Linked DNA regions of Arabidopsis thaliana. The protein of the gene in region 3 interacts with the protein of the main gene of each other region in a pairwise test. Each region holds a gene or a part of one and is shown on either strand. Other genes may lie near its edges.

Region 1 (10,420 bases), on a different chromosome or scaffold from region 3:
TTCCAATCAAGAAAGAACTGACCTGCCTTGAAGGAGTTGGCCGAGTCCGAGGGCTCCAAATACAGTGAGAGATATCATCGGAAGTCCATATCTTACAAACGGGTGTCTCCTTCCCCACCTTTTAAACGATGCTGATGACTGCTTAAGAGTACCAGTAGGGGTAGTACCAGAACCGGAAGGAGAAGACTTTTGAGTTTTCTGACCGGTTTCGATTGTTGTCATCTTTGTATTAACTCTCAAAGCATACAACTGCAAGGAAAAAGCAAGAGTGAGAACCTACTACATTGTTATCATTTTTCTTAATCCTGAAAACAAACACAAGAGTAGCTACTACAATAAGCATTGAGGAATCCATTTTCTACTCTCTAATAACATTTTCTTCTGAAATTAGTCACAAAACATAGTGTGCAAATATGGTAATCTGTGAATTTCAGATCGACTCAATCAATTTGATAATAGAGCAGAGTTAAAGATCAATACTAGCTCTGTTTCACGTGACTGGATTTGTTTCGTCGTATCTTCTACAAACAACAGATTCGTATGACCTAAATAACGTTTCCTAAACCGTAGAAATTCTCAATCTAAACCCAGAAATCAGTTCCATTCTAGGCACAACACACCGATTCGTTGTTTGACATAAATAAAAACTAACCTGGAGCTGCGTGATGGCCGGAATCTGAAGTAGCTCACTAGGTCGACGCAGGACGAGATTAGATAGAGACGGCGATGGAGACGCCGAGAAGCGAGAAGAGTGATGACGAACGTTGAGCTTCTCGGTGTATACGGCGTCGTTCGTTCTTTTAGGAAATAATCAAACAAATTAATAAATTCCCCTATTATTAGTTTCAATAATGGGCCCAGCCCAGTAACTCATATTTTGGGTTACGGTGTAAAAGAAACGACGACGTTTTTTCCTTTGTTGTGGATCTTTGTTCTGTCAGAGATGAACAATTTGTTGGTCTTTGGTGGTAAGAATAAGATAAAACAACTTTTTGGTTTCTGGGATTGTACGTTCGAACATCTACGATCAACAGACCACATTTGATAAGTATCGCATTACATACACTACAATTACCAAGCCGATGGCTCGGTACTTTGGTTGTGTTAGAATAACAGAGAAAGTAGCAAAATGAAGAGTAGATGGATTTTAACCAAATAACGAGTGATTGATACAATGAAGGGTTACATTATACTACTTCAAGAGCTGCTTTACATGAACTGTTTCAAGAACTCCGTAGCAACGAGTCTTCCTCTTGTATTCACTGACTCCTTCAAGTCCCTTATTTCTTTCTCTATATCCTGCAATTTCCATGGTTAAAAAATAGTCACACTTCAAGTTTCAAATCTATTTTAAGCGGAGATTAGCATGTTGGAGGACATAATCAGAGTAACTAATCTCTGTTGACTCTTGTAGAAACAATTCAAATTCAAAGACGGATATAATGACCTTTGTTAAGGCAACTATTCAGAATACTACTTCTCAAGTTATTTCCGTGAGAAACACAACGACGTAAGGATGCATCACTAACATTAGGTTTGATGCAACCAAGACATATATTGATTGTTAGGATGCTACTAATGGGAGCAACCAAGGTCATAGAATAAAAAGATTAGGTTTCGAGAGAGACTTGCCTCCATAAACTGAATAATGAAATCAATTAGCTTCTGTTTCTGCATCTCTTCGCAGTGGTAGTTTGTTATAAGAAAGCTTATGTCATAGCCCTGTTCAAAACACCAACAAAGAAACCAATTGAAGGGAATAAGGGAATGGATCGTTCACACAATGCAGGGGAATAAACAGTAAACCATCTAAAGCCAAGGCAATGCATTTCCGCACAGTGAGATGATTCATGATTCATGATTCATAGAAGGGAAAAAGAAAGGAAAGGTGTGGTACATACAGACTATCTATCATCCTAAACCTAAAAAATGCCTGCACAGAAAGCTAAAATTAAGGAGAATTTGTGAATACTGTCTGCGTTATGTTTAATCAATTCGTGATGCATTTACCATTAAAAAAAAATAGAAGTTCGACAAAAGAGGGAATGCATTGCAACTTCTAGATAAAACCTAGTAGCACTCACAAGTACCTAAGTGTTGAATCAATAAGAAGGTCTACCTGCACTGGCTTCCTCCTCAGTACTTGAAAAGCTTCTGCCCTCATGGACAAGAATCTGAGAAATTTTTTGGTTAGTATGTTTTCAAGTTCATCCGCTTGCTTGACCTGCAAATTAAAGATAACAAATATTTGTAACAGCAGAACAAGACAGATGTCTAGACTAAGTCACGACTCGTCAAGACGTTATCTCAGGAGAAAGAAACAAAGGAAACGGTGAGAAACAGGAAAGTAAAACAACACAAAGCCTTTGTTGAACAGTGTACCACTGGGGCTCTTCCTGGAAGTATTTGAAGGAAAAGCTAGGGTAAGATGAACATTTACCTTGAGGCTTATCCGGAGTGAATTTATAGATGTTTCTATTAAACACTTTTCAGCCTCATTTCGGCATATTAAAACCTGCAAGTTGCAAAACTTAGCAGTCAACTACAAAACCTAGGTAAGAAGACAATGCAATATCAACGCTAAACTGGGAGGGAAACAAGTAAACTTCTTACAGGATTTAGCAAAAGTTCTGGGCTCGTCCTACAAAATTTAGCAAACACATGGTGATAATAAGATTCTATGCTTGAAATAAAAATGGAAGAAGAGCACCCCATTCTCACATGCATCTTCTTGTGAGAAGCTTACATACTTTAATTCAACCTCTGGTTTATTATGCCTTTCAACTTCTTGACAAGGAAAATTCTGCAAGTAGAGAAGTATAGAAGCTTTCAGGAATATAAACCATGTAAAGCTGAATGTTTTCAAAGACTCCACATGGCCCCTTTCACCTACTTTAACGAAATCGGTAGGTTCTGACACCAAATATTGCGAGAAAAACGTCAAAAAGTAAGTGAATGATGGTACAACATGTCTAATCAAAAAGTAAACAACTAATACAAGAGAATAACAGACCAAAGGTGGATGAATGAGATAGAACGCCAACATGAAGCTTTAACTGCCTTAAACAAACTTAACCATAAAGATGGAAACTTTGAGACCTATGCCATGATATCATGAACCAAAAATAATTTGTACCTGTAAGCACATGGCAGCCTCGAGTGTATTTTTTATGCATGCTAGATACAGCCGTAATGAGTTTGCCTGGAACATCAAAGACCCATCGGAAGCAAATTTTAAACAATTTCTGCAGTAAATCAGTATGCGATAGACATTGTTTAAAAGAATTGTTTCTAAACAGGACATGTTTGAATGAAAAAGAGTCTTTGTCAAGTATGAGAAGAATCAAAATTAGAATTACAGTCAAGGTTCTTACCATGTCCTAGAAATGATGTTATTCTACTCGAGACTTGCACCAGACTTAGGATTTTATCTTTCTTCTCGATGAATCTTTATGAGCTGAAAAAATAATCCAAACATAAACAAGAAAGCATCTTTAGTTTCATAGAATTTAGGTTACCAACTTTTTTATACTAAACGTCAATAAGAAAGCAACTTTAGGATCAAAATGTCTACAAGAAAACAAAACACTCTCAAATGTTTAAGATAAGAAGAGAACAAAATAACAATCAAGTAACAGCAAGATCCCGGAGACTAGAGTTTCTATGTAATCAACTCGAAGCAACAACAAGATCATGATTATTGAGAGACCCACTTAGAGAAATAAGCCAATCTACTGAAAGTCTGAAACTTTTGGAAAATGTGAGAAAGGGAAATCAAATTAGATCCCTAGGAATCAATCAGACAAATCAAAAGCCCTAAAACCTTGGTCGTGAACAAATTGCATACCTTGGACGACTTGGAGACTCGTGAGAGGAGAGATCGTAAGGAGATTTAGAGATCAACGATCGGAAAATTGAATCACGATCAAATTGACCGGATAAGTGAAACGAAATGCGTCAAAACCGAACCAAACCAGACACTCCGACCGGATCTGGTACATTCTAAAATGGAATGTTCATTGACCCACAAATACCAGCAAGATTCTGCGGATTGAACCGGTGAACCGGGTTGCTCTACTTCTAAGTTCTAATCTACAACTACAAGCGGTACTTGCGCTTTAACACATCTGTTTATGTTACTGTATTCATTTATAGCAAAGACTGGCTCTGCTTCTTGTAGAATGTTCTGTATCCGATGAGTAGTATATATCATATTTGCATGCGTAGATGTTGCAGCTGGGAGAGTTAACGCAGTCGATTTCTTGCTCAGAGGCAAGACTTCCTTCAGAGTACTTTTCTCTTGGCAAGAGCATTCCAAGATTATAAGAGACTCAAACTCAATTCCAATTGAACTCGTTGAGTCCTTAACTACATTCAAGTGATGAATTTGTTCAAGATGAGGTACTTAATGTTGAAGATACTTTGGGTTGCTATGTAAATTTTTCCACTGTTTTGGTTCCTCTGAAAGTTTACTTAGCTGTGCGTTGTGTTATTTTAGGTGCCGCCCTTCTGGGAAAACGATCTTCAGAGTATTATTCAGATGGGTTTCGAGAGATAGTCAGCAACAGAGCAACAACTGTATGCAAAACGAAACAAAAAGCAACAACATATGTCTTGTTTTAAGATGTCTAATATCTACTATATGAGTATGACATTCCCATTTGGTTGTATATTGCATAGGTTCGGAACTTGTGAAAATTGAGCCAAACAAATGGTGAACGAAGAACGGTACGGAGTTATTAATAGTCTCTGGAAGTAATGTTTTACTTCACATCGTTTCTTCTTGTATCTTTTGTTTTATTCATAAGAAAAAGTCTGCGTCTGTGAAAAGAATGGTAGATGAAGAACTTGTGGACAGATTTGTATTAGTAGAGAAGAGGTAGATTCAAAAAAAATTATATATGGATCTTATAGAAGTCTTTGTGTGATGTTTTTGGTATATTCAGGTCTCACTTGTTGGTCTAGTGTGTGACAAAGATGTTTCAAAAGTCACAAAAGTTAGATTTACTCTTTGATGATGGAACAGGACGAATTGATTGTAAAAAATGGTAATTAACACACATAGACTATACCCTTTTGAGATATGGAAGAGTTGTTTTTAGGTACAATGGTAATTTGCTATTTAGTGTAATCACCCACTTAGTGACACATCCTTCATGATAGCAATGCTTACAATAAGGCATCTGGCAACAATTCTCAGATCTCGACATATTCTCCAAACAGATTGCACAAGTCTCCGATTCTTCTTCTTCTTGGTCCAAATCTGTCGCCGACGGAGAAGAAATACAAGGCACAACACTGTATAACTTGTGTGTCAATCTGACAGAGACTATCATGAATAAAGGTTGTTGACGTTGTTGTGGCAAGTAAAAACTTTGACTTCTTTGCAGTTGGGCTTCGACAATCTTAGAACATATTTGTCCGGACAGGTCACGATCGTGGAGTTGGCGTTGAAGACGTTGATAGACGTAGTTCCGTTAGTGTAATTTGCTATTTAGTGTAATACCCAAAAATATGAATATTGTTACTAGAATATAGAGAGTGCGAGATAAAGGAAGGAGCACGCTCATGAAAATGAAAAGTAGAATTGTTTGGGAATTAGGATTGCAGTCTAAGCTAAGAGATCTGCATGAAGGTTGGTTTAATCTTCTACGAATCCAGGAGGTTTGCGTCATTTGTACATAATGAGTTGCAAGTTATGAGTGAAATTGGACTTATATCACAGAATCAGACACCCATTTTATACACATTAAACACACAAAATAGATATTAGAATTATATGTTGCACCTATCATAACCCGAAAACCAAGAAGGCTCAGCAAGATTTGAAAACTCAGTTTCTTTTTTGTAAAGCGGCTCAAACTCATCTCTCCATTGCTGCTCACTACTTGCATTTACTGATGGTTCCACGGCTTGATCACATTTGGTAGAGCATTCATTGTGAATATGAGATTGTGGGACGAGTTGGTTAAGTGTGTTGATTTCGTTTTCATGTTTCTTCTTCAGCTTGTCAATCTGTCTATATGCTTCTGCAGCTTCATACTCTGCATCCATCGCACGTTTCTGTTGACACAAGCCACATAGATTTTATGTAAGAACATGCATGCATAATAATAAAAGCAACAGACTTATTCAAGGATGTGACCTGACATGTTTAGAAAATGTAATAACGTACCTGTGCAACTGTTAATCCCTCTTCGGCTTCTTTAAGCCGAACAAGTAACTCTCCAGCTGCTTGTATGGCTTCAGCTGTATCTCTTAGTTGTGTTTGGAGACTTTTGTTCTCATCCCTCAGGTATTGTCTCTCCTTCTCTTTTTCTACCTTTAAGGCTGAAATTTCTGCTGCAAGTGCATTTATGAATCTGGACTCTGCTCCTCTGACTCCAGCTCTTGCAGCTGCCTTTTTGACATCATCTATTCCGTCTTGAATCCTTCTATGTCTTGCAAGCAATTGCATATGCTTCTCTTCCAGGTCTGCATATTGTTCAAGCATCCGTGCATGCCCTTCCATGGCCATCTGCATTGCTTCTTTCAACTCCTCCCCGCATCTTTTCTCAATTTCAAGTTCATGTTTCTGCTTATTAATCAGCGCCTTACTGGCTTCAAGCTCAGTTCTTAATTCCTCGGAGAGAGAAATCCATTTGGTCTCTGCCTCTGTCCAACAAAGTCTTTCCTGTTCTAATGTCTTCTCAAGACTCTCGTCCTGTGACTCAGGAATAGCGTTAACTGGGGGAGCTTGGTATGAAAGCTTAAGCAGGGTACACGTTTTCAGAGCTGATTTAAGAGAAGGGTCAATGTAACATTGCAGCTGCAACTTCAAATCCTGAATCTCTTCCAATAACACTTCCCGTTCTCCCATGTCACCATAAAAGTTCTTGAAATTCTCGACCTCTTCTTGCGTTCTTTCCAACTCAATCTTCGTCTTAAGCACTTCAGGGTGATTCTGATACATGTCCTTTAGAAGCTGCAACATTACATGTCAGTAAAAGGGTAATGCAATCAAATACCCTTTTACAAAACGAGAAGCCACAATTACCTTATGTTCATGGAGAAGAGAAGCAAATTCTTCATCAAGGAAATCCTCCTTAGATAATACGCCATCCATAAGGCTTTCAAGGCGAATAATTTTGTCCTCCCTTGTTTGTCCTATGATGGCATTGCACTCTCTCTCATGTTTGTATTGTTGTACCTATTACACGGTTTGGACCAATTTATGTTTGAGGATACAGTTACTAAGGGAGATTAAAAACAGAAAAAGACGCAAGTATCATACCAGTCGGTTAAGTTGGGTTATCTCAGAGGCTTGTTTAGTGCAGAACTCTTCCAGAGCCATTTCCCTCCTGATAGAACCTGCTAGAACCTTTTCTACTGCCTGTAAAGTGTAAAACTCGATCAGTTGGAGGAACCAATTATAGAAATGTGGAAACAAAATAAGACTGTGAATAACTATCTAAATCTATGTTAGAAAAAAGTCACAGTTCTTACTTTGGGAACTTGATTCTTGGATTTTTCTGCCACTTCCGAGTTGTCAACAGGTACTAACTGAAGATTTGGCATGTCACCCATTTGCTGGGCATCAAATTGTTCTCTGCATTTGCATTTACAGCACAGAAACTCTTTTGTATTCTCCTCTGATATTGCATCAGCTCCGGGAATGGTCTGCACACCTGCATCAGCCTTACTTATAGAGGTCGAAGGCTCACTATCTGGAGCTTTGAAGGAAAACCTGTACGTCGATCGTCTTTGAGCTGTACTCTGGCAATACGACTCAAGAAGTTTAATTCCTTTGTGGAGGCTAGATGCCAACCGCTCAGTCCGTACAGGAAAAACTTTGCTCTTCTGCGTAGACAAAGCACTAGAACAGTTATTCATCTTTTTGGATGTAGCCGGAGATGGGTCCGCAGCTTCTGTAACTAAATTTTCTCCTTCACTATCCTTCTGAGATGCTGTTGACAATTCTGATGTCTTCAAGCTTTTCCTGCTATTTCTAATCGTAGGAGAGACGCTCAGTGTGGGAGATTTTAATACAGGAGTCGCACCAACTGGATCTATACAAAGACTGGGAGATGCAGAATTTACTAAGTGCTCTGGATCATCTACTCCATCAGCTATCAATACATTTGCTGAAGTAACGTCTTGCGGAACTAAGTCAGGGCATGATGACACATCCTCTGACTTGTTCAGTGAAGAACAAAGAGCATCCTTGACTGAAAGAGGCTGGAAACTGGACTCGTGATCTAAAGTTTGCGAGTGTGTCTTGATCTGATTTTCTCTGATGCCAGTCTCTGTCTCAGTTCTCATATTATCCACGGTTTCTGGTTCATGGTTCTCAGTATGGCAACAAGCATCCTCCATGGCAACATCTGAGTCCTCAGGAAGCCGCTTTTCTATAGATTGGCCATCAGATGAATGTATACTCTTTACTCTGTTCATATCGTGATTGATCCCCTCAGAAGCTAAAGATGATTGCAAACCCACTTGAACACAAAGCCTTTCAACAGCAGCCTCATCAATTTCCATCTCAATATCACCATCATTATCTTCATGAGGTAAGGACCTTGGATGACCCAGACCGAAGCTTCTTAATAAATTCAAACTTCTACGTGCATTCCATGCAGTGGAATAAGCAACATTTGGATTGGTTGGATTATTTCCATCATTCTTCATCCTTTGTAGTTCATCCTGCACAATTTATCCATTAAAAGCCATATTCATATTTATATTTCTATCTTATAAAATATGTAAAAGAATCCGTACCCTCAGCTGGTGTATCACTCCACGCAAGAAATTTACATCATCCTGCATCACTTCATTGACAACAGCCTTATTCTGTATTGCCTTTGCACGCTGAGCAAATCTCAAGGTGCTGAAGGTTTCACTCCTGCAACTGCAGTTTTCGTATATACTTTATATTCTAGAAGATGGAGATAAAATAATTGCTGAAGTGGAAATAGGGGTCCTGCGTTACCTTTGAGAAGGAGAAACTGCACAAACCATTGCTAACTTTGCATTCCCACCAAGAGACTCTTGCAATAAAAATGTTAATCTGGAATCCCTGTAAGGTATATGCCTTGGCTTCCCTGTTTGAGAAATCTCTGCGAGGATGTTAATCAAGTTCCTGCACGTAACAAATTTATATGGTAAACATGTAGTTGATAATTTCATCTTGTGGTAAACATCCTGCCAATAACAGGACTGGTGAACAAACCAAGCAAATCTTTTTCTTTTTACCAAGCAAAATTTGTATATCCTCAGCAAAAGGGTAAAGGATATACAATAAATCCACTTTGATAAGACAATCAGCAGACAAATAATTGCCATTTTTGAGGTCTGAAGACTTCAAACAAATAAATATGAACTTCTGGGAAGCCCAAAGTATTTTTAGATCCTCAGCAAAAAGGTAAAGGATATACAATAAATCCACTTTGATAAGACAATCATCAGACAACAACACATGGAGAGATAGTTGTTCTAAAATTAAATATCAAAAAGCACTGCTCAAAAGACACAAGATCCTCATAAGCTACTACCACCATATTTCAAATTATTTTCCATTATCCCAAATTTTCAGTTCTTTTATAATCAAAAACTAGATTTCTAGTGCCTGCCGCAGTATCAAAAACTAGAAGACACAAGAACAGCAGAAGCTAAGTGTCAGTTCTTTAGTGCATCCTGCAGTATAAAATTAACGAAAATTCCATGCTAACTGAGATCCAAAAATAACAAGAGAGACTACTCTGAATCATACCCCAGCTGAGAGAGCGATCGATTGATGTTCCCAGCTTCCTTCAGACGTTCTCCGGCTGCCCCAGTTGATTTTTGTCGTTCAGAACCAGCCAGATCAACAAGGTTTATTCGGCTTGTCTTAAAGCTGCTTAAGCCATCTGCAACATTCTGCAAAAAGTACATTCTAAAGAAGTCAGACGTATATTCCATCATACATTCATACTACTCTATATATTTTCTTAAAAACAAATGAAAAAATCTCAAAAAGCCAGTATATGAAAAATTTAATGTAGAAGAGTAGCTTACCTTGCACCGAGATTCAACAACGCAAGTAAATACGCAATGTGACCTTGAACTTTCTGTGTTTACACTCGTTGCACCAGTCCTTCTATTTCCCAAACCCTACACCAGTTTCAGACACAAGTATAGCTATCAAATATTATTTTTATCAGGAGAGAAAATATGTTGACCGTTTCATATATATTGCCAACTAAGGAACAATAATTTCTCTTAACTATCACTATAAAATGTAAGCTTTGTGAGATCATTTGATTCACACAGCATCACTAACAGAACATCAACGTTAAACCCCAGTAGCAGCATTCTATATAATCTGTGGCAATCTCTTCTTTCTAACAAAAACAAGTTTTCACATTGCTTCATTAAAACTTAATAGAATTACAAAGATATGATA
Region 2 (10,420 bases), 770 kb from region 3:
CAAGTCTCCAGTTTTGGTCTCCTTTTCATTGGCATTTTGTTTATCCTCCCTGACAATATTCTTAAGATGGGTCTATGAGAACATATGCTTCTCATTCGTAACTTGAAATATATCGAATAACCGTAAACGTGAATCATTACTTTGTTTTGTCGTTCAATGTTGCTATTGCCGACTTGCTTTGATGGTAATATCAAGTCAAATGTTGATCTTGTTTATAAAATTTAGTGGTACTACAAAAAAAAAAAACTATGACCATGGATTCTTCTTAGTTGCTCTAGGATAAAAGTCCATGACTAATTTAAGTTTAGCTCTTTATGGTCATGAATTTTTTTTGTAGCAAGCTCGTGGCTAAAATCCCAAGTTCTAGAAAGTTTTCCTTAAGATGAATGGGCATTATAGATTTTACTTTCATTTTTATTTCTTGCACTACTTTATTTTCTTGAAGATACAGATCACACTCGACAAAATTTACTATCACCTACACAAATCCACACATTAGATATGATACAAAATACAAAAAATTCTTGCAGGACTAGCTTGAACCCCTTTTCTCCATTTATGTCGTTCAGAGAGTAGATTACAAAGATGAAATGGAATCTGATAAAGGGCTTTTACGTATCACTCCATGTATCGCTTTCATCTCCATCTTTGCTAGCTACAGCCTGAAAAGAAGAAAAGAGTGAGTGATAGATAATGTTGTGTTGGATTTAAGACAAAAAGTACTTAGATTCTGAAATAAAGATTAGATTTGCTTTGGATATATATAGATGCAGAAGTTAGAGGATGAACCTGGCGTATTGAGTTTGCTTTCTCCAAAATCGCGCTGATCTTAGTGTTTATGATAGGGTCAGTTGTTGCAGTAGCCGATGATGTCGTTGTCATGACCACAGGCCTAAGGTTGAATTGCTTTGATTTGAAAGAAACCAAGAATGTAGCAAAAGATGATATAACAAATCAAGCATCAGAATATAACTTTCTTTCACAAAAAGGAACTATTTGCACTCACTTGTGTTCGGATTTGTTGCAAGAAGTCTCCAGTTTCAGTCTCCTTTGCGTTGGCACTTTGTTTCTCCTCCCTGACATTATTCTTCAGATGGGCCTATGAGAACATATGCTTGTTAAGATTCGTAATTTGAACTATATTGAAAACGATCATCTGGAATATATGGAACTGACCCACACTGTAGAAAAGTAGGAAGAAAGAGTCAAAATCTTCTCCATACCTTAATTTCTGGTTTAGGAGCAGAAGTCACCATGCTAGGCAGTTCGTTCTTAGCTGTAGGCAATGAAATATGCTTCTCAAACGCAAACCTGAGAGCTTCTTGTAGTTGTAGGGACTGTGTTTTGTCTTCCATTTTCTCTGAAGGTGTCTTTGAAACCATCCATTGCATGGGTGGAAATGGCGGTGGTAAGGGCTCAGCAGGATTTTGGAGATATGAGAGGTTTACGGCGACGCAAGAACTTTCTGATTTGATCCCTAGAGGGGAAGCTTCAGCATTGTTATCAACATGCCTACTTTCGTGGAAAGAATCATATAGTTCTTGCTCTTTTCTTCCATGGCTGTCACTGGATTCTTCCCACGGCTCAGAATTTGACAAGGAGTGATTATCGCTAAGATAATCGGTATCTGACATGTAAGGAGATGATCTACAAAAAGTGTCGTCGTCAGAATAAGAATCAGGAAGGGAAGTTCCAGTCTCTGGAAGCAACTGGAAGGAGGAAAAGGTATTGTAAGTGTTGTCTCCATCTGAAAATTTAAGCTTCAGTCTCGAAGCCTGAAGAGTGTCAGCGGGATTGAGAGATATTTTCATGTGTTGAAGAGGCGGAGACGAAGTGATCCAATCAATAGGAGCTTCGTCTCTGAAGGGGTCCATAAAGGTTTTCTCATTAATATCTTGGTCACAAAACCTCCTCCTCTCTGTAGTCACTTCATCGTTCTCTGGAATCGTTGCTGGTACAGTCTTTCTATCATGTGCAAATGAATCCTTTCTGCGGAAACCACTAGTAAGAAACTTGTGGCTGAGTCCAAAAACTCCAGAAGAAGTCTCATGGGACTCTCTTTGGTCTACAATACCCATGACTATGCCATTTGAACTACCTGGATTTTGGGTTCCTGGCGTTGCTAAGCTTGAATTATTCAGAACATGTCTATGTGAAGCATTTTCAACTAGATCATCTGCTTTATCTTTTTCAGCTTCTGCAAAACCAACTGTCCTTTCCTCGGTCTTGCAATCTGGACTTAAAGAACTTGGCATTGCCAAGACTGGAGGTTTCGATGGTTTCAGTCCCAATAGACCACCATTAGTCCATATTTTAAAGGCTTCGAGATCCCCAGAAGATTCAGCTTCTGTTTCTTGATTTTCCTGTAGGCCATGATGAATCAAGGGGTTTGATGAATCAACTAAGCTGTTCTCGAGACCTGGCACAAATGTAAATGTGATGGTATCTTTTCCACCAGAATCATTACGCATATCCTTGTTTGCACAAAGATCATTTTTTTGTAAGCGGTTGATATCTGAACCCGCCTGTAGATTTTGTTGATGCATTTCAACAGATACATTTTCTGACGATGCATTCTCTTCATTTTTAAAACTGTTGGCCATAAGCCCATCCATTGATCTGCAAGAATCTTCGACACTGTAGGAATTCTGCTCTGTTTCTTGCTCACACACTGACTTTTCCAACCTCTCATCTGCAACACCACAGGAACTGCTCACTTGACTAGTTTGAAGCCCTTGATTGTTTTCAGATTCTGATTCGATAGTATTAAGCGCATCAACAAAACACTCCCCTTCGCTTTCAGTCTCTTGTTCACTATCCCTCGGTTCTCCCACAATCTCCCGACCATTTTTTATCTCTCTTACCTCATCAATCCCAGCACGTTTTCGTAGTCCTGATTCTGATTTATCATTTTCATTGTCCTTAGAATGGAAATCAACTCCACCTATCCCTTCCCCATAGCTTGGTTTCTCATCTAGAGTATCTACAACAGAGTTCGCCTCCACCATTTCAGAAGCTTCATCTGTCTGCAGACCAAGAGATTCCACTATCTCTGCTTTCTCATCCCAACTAACGCAAGAAGAGCCACGAGCAGCTTGCCCTTGAGAAGGACTAAACTGGAAATTATCATGAGCATCTTCGGTTTCACATTCAGAAAGGACTGAAGCAATAGTGCAAGAGCCTGGTGTCAAGCTGGATGAAACGAACACCCCTTTCGGTCTTTCTCCAGTCTTCAGTGAAGAAGTTGCAGTTGAAAGGCATTCATTGTAGCCTGAACCACTTCTGGACTCAAAAGAGCGAGAATGATGATCTTGAAAATCATATCTTTTTTCCATGTCACTGGTTGAGGTGGTTTTGGTAGAAGAGGTTTGTCCACTGAAGCTAAATGAAGCAAATGTCTTCCTGGAGTGAACTATGTCTGAGTTAATTATTCTTTAGGTGCACGGAAACTTAAATATGCCAACAATATCTATAATTTACCTGGCATTCTGGTTAGCCAAGGAGGCCAAACGTGACATATCTCGACTCCTTGACGAAGTTTTTTTCTTCTGTCCATGCCAGAAAACAGATATATATGTGTCAAGTAAAAGAGAATTCTACAGAAAATGGTTTACCAATTTAATCTGAGAACCACACCTTCATTTTACAATGCTTTTTATCTTTTTGGAACTTCTTGTTTCCTTGACTCAGGTTGCTTGATGCTCTTCTGAAATAAGTAGGATCTGAGTATCGCTTCAAGCAAGATCCAGGACCATTTATATCAAATCTGAGAAAATAAAGCAAAGAATCAGTATAACATGATGGATTATAGTACATAGTACATACATATCAGATATAAATATTTTAGCTTGAGGCATACTTATCAAGCAAGTGTAACCGTGGAGGACCCCTGCATTCTTCATAGGGATCCATAATAATGTGAGGCAAGTCGTCATAAATTAAGTGATTTTGCGTAATTGGGATACGAGGATGCCACTCCAGACCTGAACCCCATTAAACTCCTTCAGTTCACAAGATATAAAGTAAGAAAAATACAAGCATGACCACTTTCTCACCACCCATTACTTCCACGGTTTCAATACAATAAATAAAAGTTTGCCAAGGGGAACCAAACAACTAATACTATCAATTCAATTTTAAGTTAATCTATTTTAAGGTTTTGCAGAAGATACAATGATTTAGTTTCTCAATCATTCCAGATTCTAAACTAGCCTCGTCAGAGAAAGTTTTAGTTTTAGGGTAAGTGAAAAAGCATGTGAAGGCCTACAATGAACTAAGGATGTGACATAATTTATTAAAAGAATTAATGTGAAACCTAACAAGAATCAGACACCTTGGGTCAAGACAATAAGAAGATTGACAAGAGGGAAGAAGACAAAACAAACCTCCTGTGTATGCAAAATGTATATGAGTTGTTTGTGCAAGCATCGCCTTTTCTAGTGGAGGCACTGTAGCTTCTATATGCTGCAATCTAATCTTTAACTGATTGCTTCTTGAAGCTGTAGCCATAACTTCCTCCTGTATCCCATGAAATATCTCTGCTGCAAACCTTAATCAAGAGAAAAAGCAATCGATAAGAAAGTTTCTTCCTTTGTGCTAAAATGACCCTTATCAACCAGAGATCACTCCAAACCCAAACTAAGCTTGATATCAGAGCCGACATAAAGAGTCACCACATAAGGAGTTGCTAAGAAACATAAACTAAGCTCATGAAACAAAACTAAACACAGCAAAAATGGAGAATGATTGATAGAAACATCACAACAATCATAGAATCATAAATGAATAAAGCTTCTTCCTTTTTGCTAAAGCTTAACTCAAAAACTTCAAAGGATCATGCAATCAAAATGGGTTCCCAAATTTGTAGCTACAAACACCAATTAGATTACCTTAAACAAGTAAAGGCAATTACTTTCACACAAAGTAATGATTCTCATCTTTAACTTCACCACTAGCTCAAAGAATCATTCAACAGTAGAGATACCCAAAAGAGACGCAACATTAGCTCGAATTGAATACTTACTCAGCGAGATCACCAAGCTGACGCAAGACCCCAACAAGTCCAGTAACTGCAACACCATTGAGAATTGCTTTAGGGTCTTCACGATCGACATTTCTATACACCTCGCTTTGGTTCATACCGTATACATTCCGTGGCATTTTTTCTCTTAAAAGGTACAAAACTGTCACACATTGAGATACAAAAAGTTTTGTGGCTAAAGCATTAAGAGAGCTGGGAAAAGGATTAGGAGAAAGAATCAAAAGGTTTTTTTTTGAAGAAATTGAGAAAATGGGTTTTGATGAAAACGAGAAAAAGGTTAATGATTGTTGATGGGTTTCTGGTGAGTGAGATTGATGAGGCAGCTTAACTGCTCAAAAACAGAGAGGGAAATTTTGGAGGCAGAGAGGGAAAGAGACTGTGAGAGAGAGAGACATTGACATTGCCAATATCGCAAGCCATTCCTTTCCAATTTCATTTACCAGTGGGGGGTTTACAGAAAAGTAGAAAGACCAAATTACCCTTGTATTTTGTGTGTTATTACGTGATGGGGTTTTGAGAAAAGAAGGATTTTATTTTTATTTTTGGTTCAAAGAAAGGTTATTGGTTCGCACGATATGAACATTAAATTCTAATTTTGATTACAGAATAAATGTTCGATTTTGTAATTTAAAAATGAAGTGGTTTTCGGAAAAAAAGTGAGAGAATGTCAATGTCAAATAAATGTTTCGTCAAGTTTTGTAGTTATTTGAGTAAGGATTTGTTTGTTTGTCAATAAATAAAATTGTTGGGTTGGTTACATGTTGAAACAAAGTCCAACGAGTGAGATGGACATATTACAAATAGTACGTTCTAGTATGATACAATAAATGTAGACAATTTTTAATTGTAATCGTGGAATTCCACATTTATAATTCTTGGAACTAGGTAAATTAGTTAAGCATATCCGATGCAAAGTGGTTTCTCCAATGCATTCAAGACTCCTAGTTTTCTATACAAGAGTTAAAATCACTTGCTCTTTATGTTTACATCCACCAGAATGTTTATGATTGGGAGAACAACCCCAACAATTGAAGAAGAAGAAGAGGCAGGGATATTATGTCTCAAGAATCTCACTACAAAAAAGGTTAGTTGTATCAATTAACTTGCAACAAAAATTTAAAAAATACTAATTTGAATTACTTATTTACAATCGATACAAAAATTATAATTTAACATCAATTGCAATAACTGATGTCGTATTAGTTTGTGTGACATCAGTTCATTAAAATTAATGCAAATCTAGGTCTATTTGCCTCACTTTCACAATATTAATACAAATATGTGAATTTTAATCATTTAGAAAGTGATACAAAATTTAAATCAATAATAACCGATGCTAATTACAGATTTAGCATCAGTTGCACTAACTGATATAATTGTTTATTCAATTTGTTTACATACCACATATCTCCCACAGAAGGAAAAAAAAACCTCCATAATTTTTTTATATATGTAAAGTTACATAATTCTGGTTTTAGATGGTGTCCAAAAAGTGTAAAGTTACTATCCCAACTAAATTTAAGTGTTCGCTTAATATTAATTAATAAAGATATTTGTTTCATAAAAACTAATTTAGTATTATTTTATAAGTTATTATAATTAATATAAACACTTAAAATTATTTATTATAAATGTTGCAAATATTAACGTTATTTTGATAAATTGATACAAATAATAAATCACTTATATTCAATGATGCAAAATTAATATCATTTTTTTGCAACTGATGCATATTAACATCGATTAAAATAATCACTACAAACAAACATGTTATACGGTAATGTTTCGACAGTTTAAGAGTTACTATATATGGAGGAGTGAACAAGGCAAACAACCACCAAAAACCAAAAAAAAAAGAGATAGCTACTAATATAGATCTTGGAGCATGCCAAATTTTACAAGAAAAAGACCCAGAAGATTATACTTTGGGGAGAGACCAATTTGGGTTAAAAACAAGAGGAAATCAAGAAGCAGTAATGTCATTAAGCATATAGAACACGGAAAATCATCTTCCAAGTGGTTTTGTTCAAGTTGACAAGAGAAGAGAGACATTTTTTTTTGTATCCTACAATTCGAACTTGCATGGAAGAAGAGACATCAAAGGATTTCAAAAGAACCCAAAACCTCATAATAAGACTCAATTGTATCTAAAACACCAACTTTGATATTGAAGAAAATCTTAATTTCATTCTCAACTAATATAAGAAGAAGAAGCATAACTAAGAGTTGTTGGTGTTATATAGAAGTGGGAGGAAGCCATACAGGGAGGCTGTCAAACTCAACCCCTTATGGTGTTTCAACTTGGTCTTCAAAATGACGGATACTTCTGGTGGCGATATCGTAAACACCAGATATCATAAAATCTGATCTTTTATGAACAAATTATACTTGGCGTTCGCTTTGTCTTTCATCCATCAAACATTATATGTATGATTGTATCCAAAAAAAAATAAAAAAATCATGTGATATGAAAGTTTTTCTCTTTCGAAAAAATAATCTATGCATTCAAAACAGAGTTCTAGTCTATGTTAACAATGCCATGCAATTTCATAATTATTTCTTTCTGCCTAAAATCCTTTGTATCATCTTTCTTATTCTCTTTCTGTGTAATCTACCTTCTACCATAACAAAAACCGAAGTTCCATAAACAGGTAATCTATTTTTGTTTTAAATTCTTAAACTGAATACAAAATATTTATCCTTTTGTTATAAGTTTTTTATAATTGCTTATATTTTGCTTATTTGGTAGAGTTGTACTGATTAAATATTTTATTGTCATATATGAGATAACTATATGGATTTTCTAGAATTAATATCTTTATAATTTTGAAATGAAAGAAATTAGAACAAAACAAATTTTAATTTTGCTTTAGACTTCTGTTATCTTTCGACGGGGCTTACGTCCATATAGTGTTTAGATTTAATTTATCAAACAATGAAGCTTTAAATTCAAAACAAATATTAAACTCAAACCTGATAATAAGGGTATGTATGACTGTAATATATAATCATATAAGAGATAGCAAATAAGTAGATATGATACAAACAATTTGTGTTAACACCTAGAGTCATGGTCTCATTGCTCCTACAATCATATATTCATATGTCTCGACCATTTTGCATATATAGGTTGTATGAAGTGTTGTCCATACAAAATAATATAATATCGGTGTTTGTTCGATTAATATTTTGTTCCATATTTTGTATTCAACATATTGCTCTTGTTGTAAGAAATATTATTGAATCTGTTTTCTGTTGTTTTGATTAGTCAAATTAATGAGCTTCCAACACCAGCTATAATGTGGCGGGAAAGTCACCAACAGTGAATAAACCAAATTTCATTGTGGCTTTGTAGTTTCAAAATAAATATTATACTCGAACCTGATGATAAAAATACGTATGATGTAATATACAAATATATAATCATTAGAGAAGCATGAAAATAAGTAGATACGATACAAACAATTTATGTTAACACTTAACACCCATAGTAATGGTCTCGTTGTTGCCAATACACTATTTTGTATTGTAGTCTATATACAAAGATATGAACTAGATAAAATTTCATTTTAACTCAAGTATTCGAAACTCCTAGACCGAGTGCACTTTTTAGCCGCCTGATCTTGGTGATCAGTTGGTACGTGTTCGAGGGTGATAGATTCTCAACATATATAAATGCCAGCAAGTTGCACTATTATATCTGTTATCATCTCTAAATCGATCATTGACTTTGCGTTCGGACAACCTCATAAAGGAAAGATCATTCAATAATGATTTTGTTGTTTTGTGAAAGTAATTGCGTAGGCTAATTCTTAGTATTAGTTTAGAAACTCGAATACTAGTTGTAATATTGTAGACTAATACTACGTAACTACCGATGATTTATACATATCTAATCTATAAATCGATCGTTGACTTCGTAGTCGGACAGCCTGTAAGCTAACACACGTATATAGTACTAACATTGTTATATGTGTAAGATGTGTTTTTATTACAATTAGAAATTCAGAAACACTAAGTTAATCACATTCAAACTCAAAATCTCTCGTTACTCAAGTAATCGTTCTCTCTCTGCACTCTATGGATTCTCCCGAGTCGAAGCTCATATCACTTGCTACTCAGCTCATCTCTCTAGACAACTCTTCGGATTTGGAGCTCGTATCATGTACTATTATTCAAATAATATCTCTCGTTAGCTCAATGGATTTGGATTCGCAGCCGAAGCCCGAGACGAAGCTCATGTCACTCATAGCTCAAACAATCTCTCTTTTCAACTCCATGGATTTGGATTCCCAGCCGGAGCCGTTAAGGAATCTCATATCACTCATTACTCAAGAATTATCTCTCCAAAACTCTATAGATTCTGATTCTGAGCCAAAGCCTAATTCACAGGTTATGTCACTCTACTCTGAAACATTCAAACTCAAGCCGAGACCGGAGCTCATATCGATCATCGTTCAAATATACAGTCTTTTCATGTCGCCGGAGCCGGATTTCACAGATTCAGATTCGGGTTCGAGTTCAGATTCGGAGATGGAGTCAAAGCTCATATCAGTCATTTCTCAAATACTCACAGTCGACACGGTTGTGGTAACGGGTGAGGAGTTGGATGAGTCGCAAAAGATGTCAAAAACGAAATCACTTATTTTACGTTTTAGTCAACTAATCTCTCTTGTCAGCTCTATGGACTTGGATTCGGAGCCGGAGCCAGAGTCGGAGCTCATATCACTCATTAAGCAAATAATATCTTTCAGCAACTCAATATCGGATTCAAACCAGAAAGTGTTTCTGTTGTGAGGAGGATCTCGAAAAGATATTCTACTATTGCTCGGATTGTGATTATGCTATGAATATAGTTTGTGCGGAAAAACCACCAGTCTTGTATATAGACCATCCGAATTGGCATCAGCATACACTTGCTCTCTTTCCTAGACAAGCTTTCTTAACTTGCAATGTGTGCGCCTTGGCCGATGCAAGCTCTCCTATCTATATGTGTCCCCCTTGTGATTTTGTGGTCCATCTAAGATGTATCAACTTACCACGTGTCATAAGGATATCTCGCCACCCCCATCGCATCTCTTTTACCCCTTTGTTCGACCAACGAGATAGATCTTGTGGTGTTTGTCGCGAAACTATCGACAACGATTTTGGGGGTTATTCTTGCATCAAGGATGATTGTTCGTACGGAGCACATTCAAGATGTGCCACACAAAGAAATGTGTGGGATGGCATAGAGCTTGAAGGGGTGTTAGAAGAGATTGAAGAAGAAGTTGAGCCGTTTGTGACGATAAGTGATGGAATCATACAACATTTTAGTCATCAACAACATCATTTGAGACTTGATGAGAACAAAGACAGAGATTACGATGACAGTAAGCA
Region 3 (10,420 bases):
ATGTAAACCCACCACAAAAATTAAACCGAAGATTCACCCGTAGTGTGACGGTTTATGTGTGATTCAAGGATCCCAGGATACAACCTCTATAAACTGATTTCGCAGCACTCGAAACACAACTCTAACGAACAAGTTTCTACGATACTCTCGAGACTTACTTTAAGACAGAGAGAGATTGATGGAGATGTTTTGCTTTTGAAAGATGTTTGAACGTTCAAGTGTTAATCTGCTAGTGGATCCACAAATACTTAGAAGCCTAACCTTCTTATATAGAGTTGAGATACTTAGGTTTTAATTTGCTTCTTCACAAAATCAAAACCAAGTCAAATAGAAATATAGGAGGTAGTGGGTGACTTGATACTTCAACGACTCATATTCTCAAGGAGTTGAGGAAGCGAAGAGGACCTATTCTTTAGGGACGTGAAGAACATAGTGACTTGTTTCCTCCTTTCAAGACCAGACCCGACAACCACCGGAGCTCCAACGTGAGCTAGGCCATCTCTTAAGCCCATTTCTTTTCCAACACTTTAATTTAATTAAGCCTATTAGCTTCAAGTTGCCACGAGCATCCGGGGTGTAAGGATAACGTTCGAAAACTTATATCGTCATAACTTACATACTTTCAGCAAGCAATCGACACTATCAAACTGTAAACAAGTGAATCATCCAAAATTGAGAACATTGTGATCTCAGACACTCCGACACTACTAGTCGAGATCCCGTATCATCTGGCAACATTCGTCTAAAACTATCTTCTTCTACAAGCTTCAAGCTGCTAAAAGAGACTCATCGATAGAAATTTCTCCTTTTAAGTCATATGCTATTAGAACTAACCAAAGACCCAATAGAAACCGCTACAACAACCAAAGAGAACTATCACACGAGCAATAGGATACAAAAGAAACTAGAAAACCATCGCTCCTTCTGAATCTAAAATACGAAAAAGTGGGAGACCAAGGTTTGGAAGCACCATGCAAAAATCGATGTTGTTTTTAATCGCAACTAGAACCGATTAAAGATGTAGCAACCAGACGTTGAATCAAGGAACCTCAGTGACAAACATAAATGAATCTCTCAAATATGCTAGATGTCCTCGAGCTAGTACGAGGAAGAGAGGCTATCTAGAAATAGAAATCGATATAGATGAGAATTTAGACACGTCGAGCAAGATCTCGAACTGCAAATAACTTAAACACTCTGTCATTTACCGCTAAAAACGATATCGTTGAATCATAAAATAAAGGAAGTTTCCTCATGACACTAGCAAGAAATGCAAAAATGCCAAAAATACGAGTAAGGCAAAATGTCGATATGTTTCTAAAACCCTAATCTGTTTTTGGAAAGGAGCAGAAAACACATGTGTCTCACACGCCCGCTACCTGAGCATCATGCTACTCTACTTTCATCTTTCTAAGAGCATTTCCAAGCCATCTCTATACTTTATTTTTGCTTTCATTTTACTTTAACTTATCTCTATTTTTATTTATATAGAAGAAAAATTAGAGATTTCTAATTTTCTTAGAAACCATTAAAAAAATAGAAAAAAAAATAGAGACAATTTCAATAATTTAAAAATAATTAGTTCATTATTCTTTTATATTATTTTATTTATGTAGTTTGGTTCCATGTTTGTAGAATTTTTTAGTTCTAATCTCTCTTATCTGAATAAAACCAATAATAAGATAAATACGAGAAATTTGCGAAAATAAATCTAGTGTCCTTGTTGTGATTTCATTAAAATTTTAAAATAGTTCTCACGCTTTATATGGATTACCACAAACTCACATTTAAATTTTATGTTTTTTTTACCAAGCCAAAAGGAGGAGTACTATTTACGCAAAACCAAAACCTAATCTTGGTAATCGATATTCGATACCCAGCTAATCATTATCAAAAAAGTAATAATAAAACTCAAACCATAATTATCTAGAAAAATGAATCTGTTATAATACAAACACCAAAACGACAACGTAACGTAGTACGGTAATCGGTATGATGCAAAATTATCACAGTTTGTATGCTATATTGTATAATCTGAATCTACCGTAGTATATAAATCGTATGTTATCAAATCGATATTATGGTCTAGTATTAAAAGGATTTTGGTGAAATACAACTTCATATCCGAAAATAATCAGACAAAATTTCTTTAACGCAAGACATAAAACATCATTTATATCAAATACTATTCCAGCTTCTTTATCCATTCTCGAAACAATATTCTAGTCCTTAGAGCTAATGAGAGATTATACAATGGTTTGCGAAAATGTGAAGGTGATCAGTAAGGAAGATAGAATATGTTAAACCAACATCAAGAAGACAAAAAGGTTTCGTGGTGTAGTTGGTTATCACGTCAGTCTAACACACTGAAGGTCTCCGGTTCGAACCCGGGCGAAGCCAGTTAATTGCTTTTTATTTCATTTTTTGATACAATGAAACCTAACAATATATGCCCAGTCATAATTTATGGGCCTCAAAAGTATACTACGAAGGAATCGTTAATTTACTCGTGCGACCTTTGAATCTTCTTCTTATACCTTACTAGATCACTACAAATCTTTGATACATCTGTGTATAAGGATAAATTGAACGTTTGTTTTTATATGAAAATCAACTTTTACGACTATTTGTTGGTACGAATATTACTTCATTTAATTTGACTATCTGAGAATCTGAAGAACAATAAAGATTCATCTTCTTCATTTTTGTAAAAACAATTATAAAACAAAACAAAAACTTTATTTTCTGTTGAAAACACCATGTTTAGATCAAGACCAGACACAGTCCATATCAAGGTGAGTTTCTTACAATTTTCACATTATACATTTGTTCAAATATTTAGCAAGATCAGATGTATAGAAATATCTGAAAGAATTGTACTAAAATAAATATCACAGAGACTTAATCCAGTAAAAAAAATACATGTCTCAGCTAATCACAAGTTTTTACAAAATTGCTTCGTGAGAAATCCAACTACTTCGAGTTGGTGTGATTGACCTCGTTGAGTCCCTGTGAGGAAGAGGAAACAAAGCTCAAAAACAATGCAAACAAACAAAGAAAAAGTCTGTCGAAAAACAAATTGTTTCGCAACTTACTAGCCGTTTAAATGACTTGTTGTTCATCGATCTTGTTTTCTCCAATGGCTTAGCTTGATCCAGAGCCTGAGACAACAAGATTTTGTTAACTAAAGAACGCATATCCAAGTCGAATGTAATGAGTTTGGTGTTTTACCTGAATCATAGATTCCACGCGACGCCGCATCCTGGTGTGCATAAATCCCTCTGAGAACTGTGATATAACAACAAACGAACAAAAACTCAGTTTTACAAATCCATACTAAGATAGAGAGACTAAGTTCTGGTATTTAGAGAATATGAAAGTAGAAAACATGAAAGTTCGATAAAGAATATGAACCTTGACGTGATAACTAACATAAGCATGAAAGGTCGATAAATTCCAGACAGTACGATCGAGCTTTTTCCCTTCCACATGCCGAGGAAAAATGACTGCGATATATCGATAATCTCAAAGTTAGTTTCTTTCAGATTGGTACTACCAATGCAAATTGAGTTCGAACAGAATATATTTTAGAAAGATCATACCAAAAGTTACAAAACCGGCATTAGCGGATAGTGTTTCTTTAGGAGCTCCCTCTAATTCCTGCGGTGCGGTTGGAGACCAAGAACAAGAAGGAGCAGTATTAAGCGCAGCAGCACGCCTCGCCTCTACAAATTCCTATATCATTATATCCAAAGTTTCAGTACTACAGAAATCAAAACCTGTTTGAAAATTTAGCTTTGATCATTTTGTCACCTTAAGGAAAGAAGTCGCCAGAATCGTGTCTACGGAGTCTTTAAATCTCATAGGAAATGCCACAGTGACTTTATCCGCCTGTGATACACAGTTAAGTTCTCTATCACTCTCTAGATTCTTACTAATCATAAGAACCTACTTCAATGGCTACATACGAAAGACCTATAGAGTATATATATACCTGAGGCACGAGGAAAAACGTCTCGTTAGGTCTATGCATAATTGCTACAAGCCTATCCAGCTCAGGAGCAACCGTCCTTGAAGCTAAATGCTTGAAAATGATTTTTAACGGTGCACCCATCACCACTTCTCTAATGGAAGCTAGCTTCGTTAATAACTCTGCCAAAACATAGATACTTTCTATTAGAGAACAAAACCAACATCTAAATCAAAACAACATCTTATCAATTAGAGAAAGAGACTCGTTTAAAAACCTTCATCAGGACGAACTTTAGAGAAATTGAGCTTGAGGGTTAAACTAAAACCATCTCTAGGAGGATCAAGTATTTGAAAACCTGTCCCGTAAGTGGTTTTAATAGCTTCTATAGCTCCTAAAGGAAGTCCATCAAAGGACATTGCTTCAGGTGGTGGATTTGGTAACGAAACCGAAAGCAACAACAGATTTGGATTCTTCATTGTCACCTATCAAACAAAATTCATATAGTCTCAGAACATTGAACAAGATCATATGGATCTCAGAGGTCAAATACTCAAATGTTGGTATAAAATTCACACCTGAACATGGTAACGAACATCATCAAATTCAATCCATTGATAATCTAGCTCCACTGCTTTATCAAGACTGAACCAAAACATAAACAAAATCAAGCAAAGTATTGAACTTTGGTTCCATTCTACAAAACCCAGTTCTTCCAAAATGTTTCAGATTTCTTCACAAAATCAAAATCAAATCGACCAAAATAAAAAATGGGTCTTATTGTAGATTAGGTAAAACTAAGAGTGTACCTAATTAAGAATTGAAAAGCACTTACTTTTGAGCTCGCGTCAATAGCGTTTGAAGAAGAAACCTTGAATGTGACTGCAATAGTATCATCGATTACTTTCTTACGATATCTAAAGGAGTTAACTGAATCACAGAGAAACCCTAGAGCCTTTGAGTTCTTCTCACGGGATCTAATCGGAGAAGAAAGAGAGCTCGTCGGAGACAAACGAAGACGACCGAGATTCTCTGTCACAGCTTGAACGTTTCTTCGATAACTTTTTGGAATTTTACTAATTTGTTCAATTTTATTACTCAGCTACTCAGCTAAGTGTAACGACGCCGTTTCGTTATTTCTGTACTTTATATTTTTTATGAATTTAAATGGCCCATAGGCCCAATTATGTAAATACTATGTAGTATAAGCTGAGCCCATTTCATAAATATACAATTTGAGCTTAAACGTTTCAAAAATATTTAATGTTGCAAATATCTGTATGTTTGTTTTGACAGTGGCAAACTAGTAGTGTTTTCTAGATTTTTTTTTTTCCTTCAGATTTTAACATTTGTATTATTATTTTTTCTCTGGCTTTTGATTATACCTGGCTATGTTGATTGTAATCTGACGAAGGTTTTTAAAAAAAAAATAAGCACGTAAATTAAATGATATTTTATATTTTAGATTCCAGATATATGATTATTTGAATGGAAATAAACGACAAAAATTAGTGGAGCAATGTTTTCGTATTATCTGACGTCTTCATAATATTTTAATCTAACAAAAGTTGGAATTTGACCGTTTAATGTGTGCTTTTAAAATTGAGAGATTAATTTGGATAAGATATGGCTCTTTTCTTTTTGTAAGTGGAGATATTTAACTAATTAGAATGTTACATTAGTTTTTTCAACAATGAAAAGATAAGATATTTGATCTATAAGTCTACGTATATTTTCAAATTTAAATTGGCCAGAGTGGGATAAAGACAAATAACATATGCATGTGAAGTTTTTATTTTTATTGATATTAAAGTAGACTAGTATAGTCTCTAAATGTAATTTAACGAACAATAGTATACGAACGATTTATAGTTAATATTAGTTTAAAGCTCTTTAAATAATATTCTTATTAAGTTTTTTTACTTTGACGACAAATATTTTTAGGTTAGATATGAAAGCTACATCTACATATAAAAAGAAATTATTATTTTTTAGCTTTAAAATTGTCTATTTTGAAATTGATCGTGGGCAGACGGATGTGAGAGATGAAGGAGCCTCAAAAGCAAAACTATCTCACGTATCTATACGCACACACATATATACGGATATGGTCCTACTGCATCGACATAAGCTTACATACTATAAATGCATGTGATGGCTTTTCTTAGCATAAATATTCATGAATAAATATGCGAAGTTATATTTATATTAGGGAGAAAAAAGTAGATATAGTAAAATGAGTAACGTTTGTAAGATAGATCGTGACATGGTCTTGGCAAAAGAGGAGCCGCTAGGGACGTATCTTCGCCATTGCATATTTGCATATCGATCTATATATAAGACCAAGTACTGATTTTAGAAAATCTGAAAAAAGCAGAAAAAGAAAACAGTCGTACGTACGTTATTTCTATAACCGGAAAACTTTGATAAAAACTTAAACCTTTCCTCTTATATTGAGAGTGAAAATTTTAACCCCTAAACCATAGATTGGTTGACGTAAAAGAATGTTATTTTTAACTAATCGATGGTAGCTCATTTAGCTGAACAATGATATTTACATTTTTATATGTCGAGTCATGGAGATAGTTAAAACTTCCAAACCATCCCTCCCAAAACTTCTATTGTATATATATTGCAATTTTTATTTTTCGCAATAAGAATTTATCTTTTCTAGAGTCTAGACTAAATTGTACTTTTGTGTTTGGTATAAAACTCTCAAGCAAAGTTAATTTTGAATTGTTAGATTCCAGCATAATTATTTATACAGTTAGCTAGTAAGCAAAACTGATTATGAACTCGTGAGACTTCTTAACTGTTCTAATACAACTATATATTATTATTATTAAAATTTACCGTGTCAAAGTCTAGGGTTCTAAATTTCTAATTAAATATTACCAGAAAGTGATGTAAAAACAAGGAGTACTAGAAAAAGTAATATCAAATATGGATAAGGTGAGTCATCGCCACGCATGTTGTCGAGTACGTACAATTGCGAAGGCCCATCATTTTTTCATATTCTGTAAACGTCAATAAAGTGACTAATATACGTCTATATAATATAAAATACTTCTATGTATATTAAGTGAAAGATTCTTGTAGGACAGTATACATACTCCAGTGGATAATCTAAACTTATGAATTAAATTTCATTTCATTGCACTTGTGGGCCGTGACAAATAGCTCCGTAATTCTAGACGATAGACCATATATAAACACAACTATATAGTCTAATATGTTGACCCAGATGTTTTAAGAGTTGTGTTACAAAATGCAACACGTAAATTATCAAACCAAGTAAAATCACATGTCACATGCATGTGCTAAATGTTTGAAACAGATTCATTCATATTCGTATAATGAACGTGAATCCGAGTGATCACATGGACTAACTTTAATTTCGAACCTTATTTTGTCTCATTATATGTCGGAGAAACCACCGAATTTCTAGTTTGCCCATCACGGGATGCTCTACTTCATCTTCTATACGCTCTTTCTGTAACGTTTTATGGCTAGCTATATAATATATACAACAAGTACTGATCATTCTATTATTAATCTAGGTTCGAACCACATTAACGTGGATATTCTATGTACACTCATGTTCAGCCAGATAATTAGTCGTACCAAATATTAATATTTTGCAATAAATATCTCAGCTTTTCTCAGGTATGTAGCAATCATGAGTCATGCGTGATGTTTTTGGACAAATTATCTTAAAAGAAAATAATTCTACGAAAGGGTAGTAAAAGTGACAATATATGATTATATAATTTGGTTTACAGACCATCATAATACAGCAGCATGATTAGTGGCGAAAATAGTTTATTGCAAGAGTATGCATGTGTATGTATATATTGCATTTGTGTGGCAGTAGGTGGTCATTATCGCATATATACTACATGGGATTATTGTCACAGGTTTAAATGGAAACCAATGAAACCTTCACATTTTAGTTTAGTTCTAATTAAACAGAGTCGATATATTAAATGATTTAACTACTGTAACAAAAAGATATATAATTTTATCATTTCATCTTGTTGACAAATACATTTTGTTCAGCACTAATCATATCAATCACTTGTTATGCACTAATCGCAAAACGTTTAGGAAGCAACAATAATTTGGAACCTGTTTTATCAACAGTAAAAAAAAATTTTGTTTTATTGGATTAGTGTGGTCCCTTTGTTTTGTTTATCTCATTTTCACCGCAAACTAAACTAGATTTTGTTTGATTTGGAGATCTTGTAACGCAGTGAGTGGTTAAGACTTAAAGATCTCACGTGACGATGCATTGACTCATCAACGCGAATTTTACACGGCTCGATTTTATTATAAACCATTACTTCAAATCTAATTAATTTAACAACAGCGACCACGCATAAAATTGTTATCAGGCAAAAATGAATAATTTGCATACAAATTACTTGTTTACACTTAGTACTAATATAAACTCCCTTTTTAACCAAAGCCTATAACCTAGAGACATGTGCTGATAAAACCAACTATAATCTTTTTTTTTTTTTAAAGAAAATAATCGTACTATTATATATGTCATAATTATATTTATATTCAAATCCGGAAATTTGTATGCGTTGTAAGTTTTTTTGGGGAAGTAAAATTGGAGTGTGATATATGTGTTGTAACTTGTAAAACTAGAAAATTATTTTGATTTTACATTTGGTGTTAAGAGTAAGAGTTTTTGCACCTAATATTTAAATAATTCTTTATTAATAGGTGGAAAACTATCGAATGTTAATTCCATGTTGTTGGACCTATATGTTGCATTTGTATATGTTCGATCCTCGTCCTTTTTCAATGTGCAGATTAGTTCATATTTCTTTTTTATAACTAAAATTTTTAATACCAAAATCCAAATAAGTCTTGAAATTAAATGAAAGTAGTGCATTCTTCGCATTTAAAATATTTGCAGTAATGAAGGATCTACAGTATTATTAAATTTTTAATAAAAGAACTTGAACCCTAATCTCTTAACTCCATGCATGTCAAAAAAATCCAACCACTTGATTAGATTAGATTTTTGCTAACTTATTTATATTCATTTACTGATATAGATAATCATTTACTGTAGTTTGAAAATAAGAAAACATGATACATAATTAATAAATTTATATAGTTTGGCTTAAATTATAGCCACCTGACTTAAGATATTCAACTTTTTCTATAACCGAATCTTAGTCACTAATAAACTAATACAACTAATTTTGTTTGGATGTTGTTATGAAAATACTGAGTTCAATATTCATTTGGCTATTTTATCAAAAAAAAAAAATGGATATCATAGATTTATAGGTAACGCAACAGTACATGTATTATTTTATATTTTTCAAACTAACAATTCTATTATTTTAATGTGTTAAATTTTAGAGAAACTAAATAAAAAATAAATTGGAAATAAAGGAGAAAGAAAGGGTAGTTGTCGGCAAAGATATAGAAAACGTGGGGGCCAGTCCCGTAATATAGAACGGTCAACTGTCACTTTGTCAGTAGGTCAACAAAATGTGGGGCCAACAGGGTATGAAATGAGATGACGTGGCCCAACCGTTAGTAGCCGACACCAACGGACCAACCTCCTTCCTGTATCTTCCGACATTCACTTTGGTTCCTCTCTAATCTCTCTCTCAACCTTTTTTTGGATTTTCATTCTAACCACATTATATTTCATCACATCAATGCATTATATATTTTTCTTGATTAAACTATTTTGTTCATACAAGTGAACTAGTATTACTTTGTTTTTAAATTTATATTTTCTCTCTAGGAAATTAATAAGTTCCAAAAACACAATTTTCATTTTTTGTATGATAAGATTAACCTTTTGAAACGACAATGTCGTATTCGTATTTAAATTATTTTAGTCAATAAAATTAAACATTTAAAATAAGAGAATTTGTCTGTTTTTACTTTCATGAAACCTTACATAATACATATATTTGAATATTTGATGAACAATATATATCTTTTTTTTTAAACAATATATTTTTTAGCATGCAGAACGGGAGCACTTAAACAAGATTTGTTATTTTATATTAATATACAACCAAACTCTACATTTTATATAATAAAAAAATTAATGTACCTAAAAACAGTTTAAGTTTAACTAAAAACCTTTTTTTGGGGAGAGGTTTAATATATTCACTTAATCATCAATATTTTGGTTTGTTGAGTGCATTCGGCAAGGTTGATAGATGATGCATGTTCAACATTGGTTACTTTTTTTTTCGTCACATTGGATACTCATTGTTTAAGTTTACCATTCTCGAAAATATTTGTTTACAATACTCGTTCATAATACTTTTGTACTGATCACTATTTGACTATTTGTAATATATTTCAAATTACAAATATATTACAAAGTATACTACATATTTTAACTACTATTATTGAATAAATATACTCAATGATAGCATAAAGTATAATCTACTCTTAAAG

The links.
Region 1: the proteins of DIS2 (region 3) and ARPC4 interact in binary tests that used the Arabidopsis thaliana proteins (3 or more experiments, as listed by UniProt).
Region 2: the proteins of DIS2 (region 3) and WAVE2 interact in a two-hybrid assay, tested with the Arabidopsis thaliana proteins (one study listed by BioGRID).

What each region holds. Positions count from the first base shown.
Region 1 is NC_003075.7:8,152,870-8,163,289, forward strand, and holds ARPC4 (binding protein), read right to left. Parts: upstream 3,922-10,420; 5' UTR 3,848-3,921; intron 3,499-3,847; exon of another isoform or gene 3,458-3,498; 5' UTR 3,378-3,457; coding exon 3,375-3,377; intron 3,203-3,374; coding exon 3,137-3,202; intron 2,804-3,136; coding exon 2,751-2,803; intron 2,642-2,750; coding exon 2,614-2,641; intron 2,516-2,613; coding exon 2,441-2,515; intron 2,225-2,440; coding exon 2,120-2,224; intron 1,723-2,119; coding exon 1,629-1,722; intron 1,300-1,628; coding exon 1,193-1,299; 3' UTR 938-1,192; downstream 1-937. Other genes in the region: AT4G14145 (cytochrome C oxidase assembly protein), read right to left, coding at 23-222; PAKRP1 (phragmoplast-associated kinesin-related protein 1), read right to left, coding at 5,776-6,063, 6,176-6,964, 7,037-7,189, 7,274-7,372, 7,486-8,682, 8,758-8,887, 8,969-9,118, 9,749-9,894 and 1 more.
Region 2 is NC_003070.9:10,189,741-10,200,160, forward strand, and holds WAVE2 (SCAR family protein), read right to left. Parts: upstream 5,474-10,420; 5' UTR 5,161-5,473; coding exon 5,024-5,160; intron 4,550-5,023; coding exon 4,386-4,549; intron 3,984-4,385; coding exon 3,860-3,983; intron 3,767-3,859; coding exon 3,637-3,766; intron 3,549-3,636; coding exon 3,481-3,548; intron 3,403-3,480; coding exon 1,224-3,402; intron 1,100-1,223; coding exon 1,007-1,099; coding exon of another isoform or gene 980-1,006; exon of another isoform or gene 907-979; coding exon 790-906; intron 663-789; coding exon 612-662; 3' UTR 397-611; downstream 1-396. Other genes in the region: AT1G29179 (cysteine/histidine-rich C1 domain protein), read left to right, coding at 9,122-9,838; AT1G29180 (Cysteine/Histidine-rich C1 domain family protein), read left to right, coding at 9,888-10,420. UniProt on the Arabidopsis thaliana protein: Involved in regulation of actin and microtubule organization. Part of a WAVE complex that activates the Arp2/3 complex. Regulates trichome branch positioning and expansion.
Region 3 is NC_003070.9:10,955,553-10,965,972, reverse strand, and holds DIS2 (Arp2/3 complex, 34 kD subunit p34-Arc), read right to left. Parts: upstream 5,066-10,420; 5' UTR 4,868-5,065; coding exon 4,806-4,867; intron 4,616-4,805; coding exon 4,549-4,615; intron 4,456-4,548; coding exon 4,248-4,455; intron 4,153-4,247; coding exon 3,995-4,152; intron 3,892-3,994; coding exon 3,814-3,891; intron 3,736-3,813; coding exon 3,603-3,735; intron 3,507-3,602; coding exon 3,415-3,506; intron 3,289-3,414; coding exon 3,232-3,288; intron 3,162-3,231; coding exon 3,096-3,161; intron 3,010-3,095; coding exon 2,974-3,009; 3' UTR 2,742-2,973; downstream 1-2,741. UniProt on the Arabidopsis thaliana protein: Functions as actin-binding component of the Arp2/3 complex which is involved in regulation of actin polymerization and together with an activating nucleation-promoting factor (NPF) mediates the formation of branched actin networks.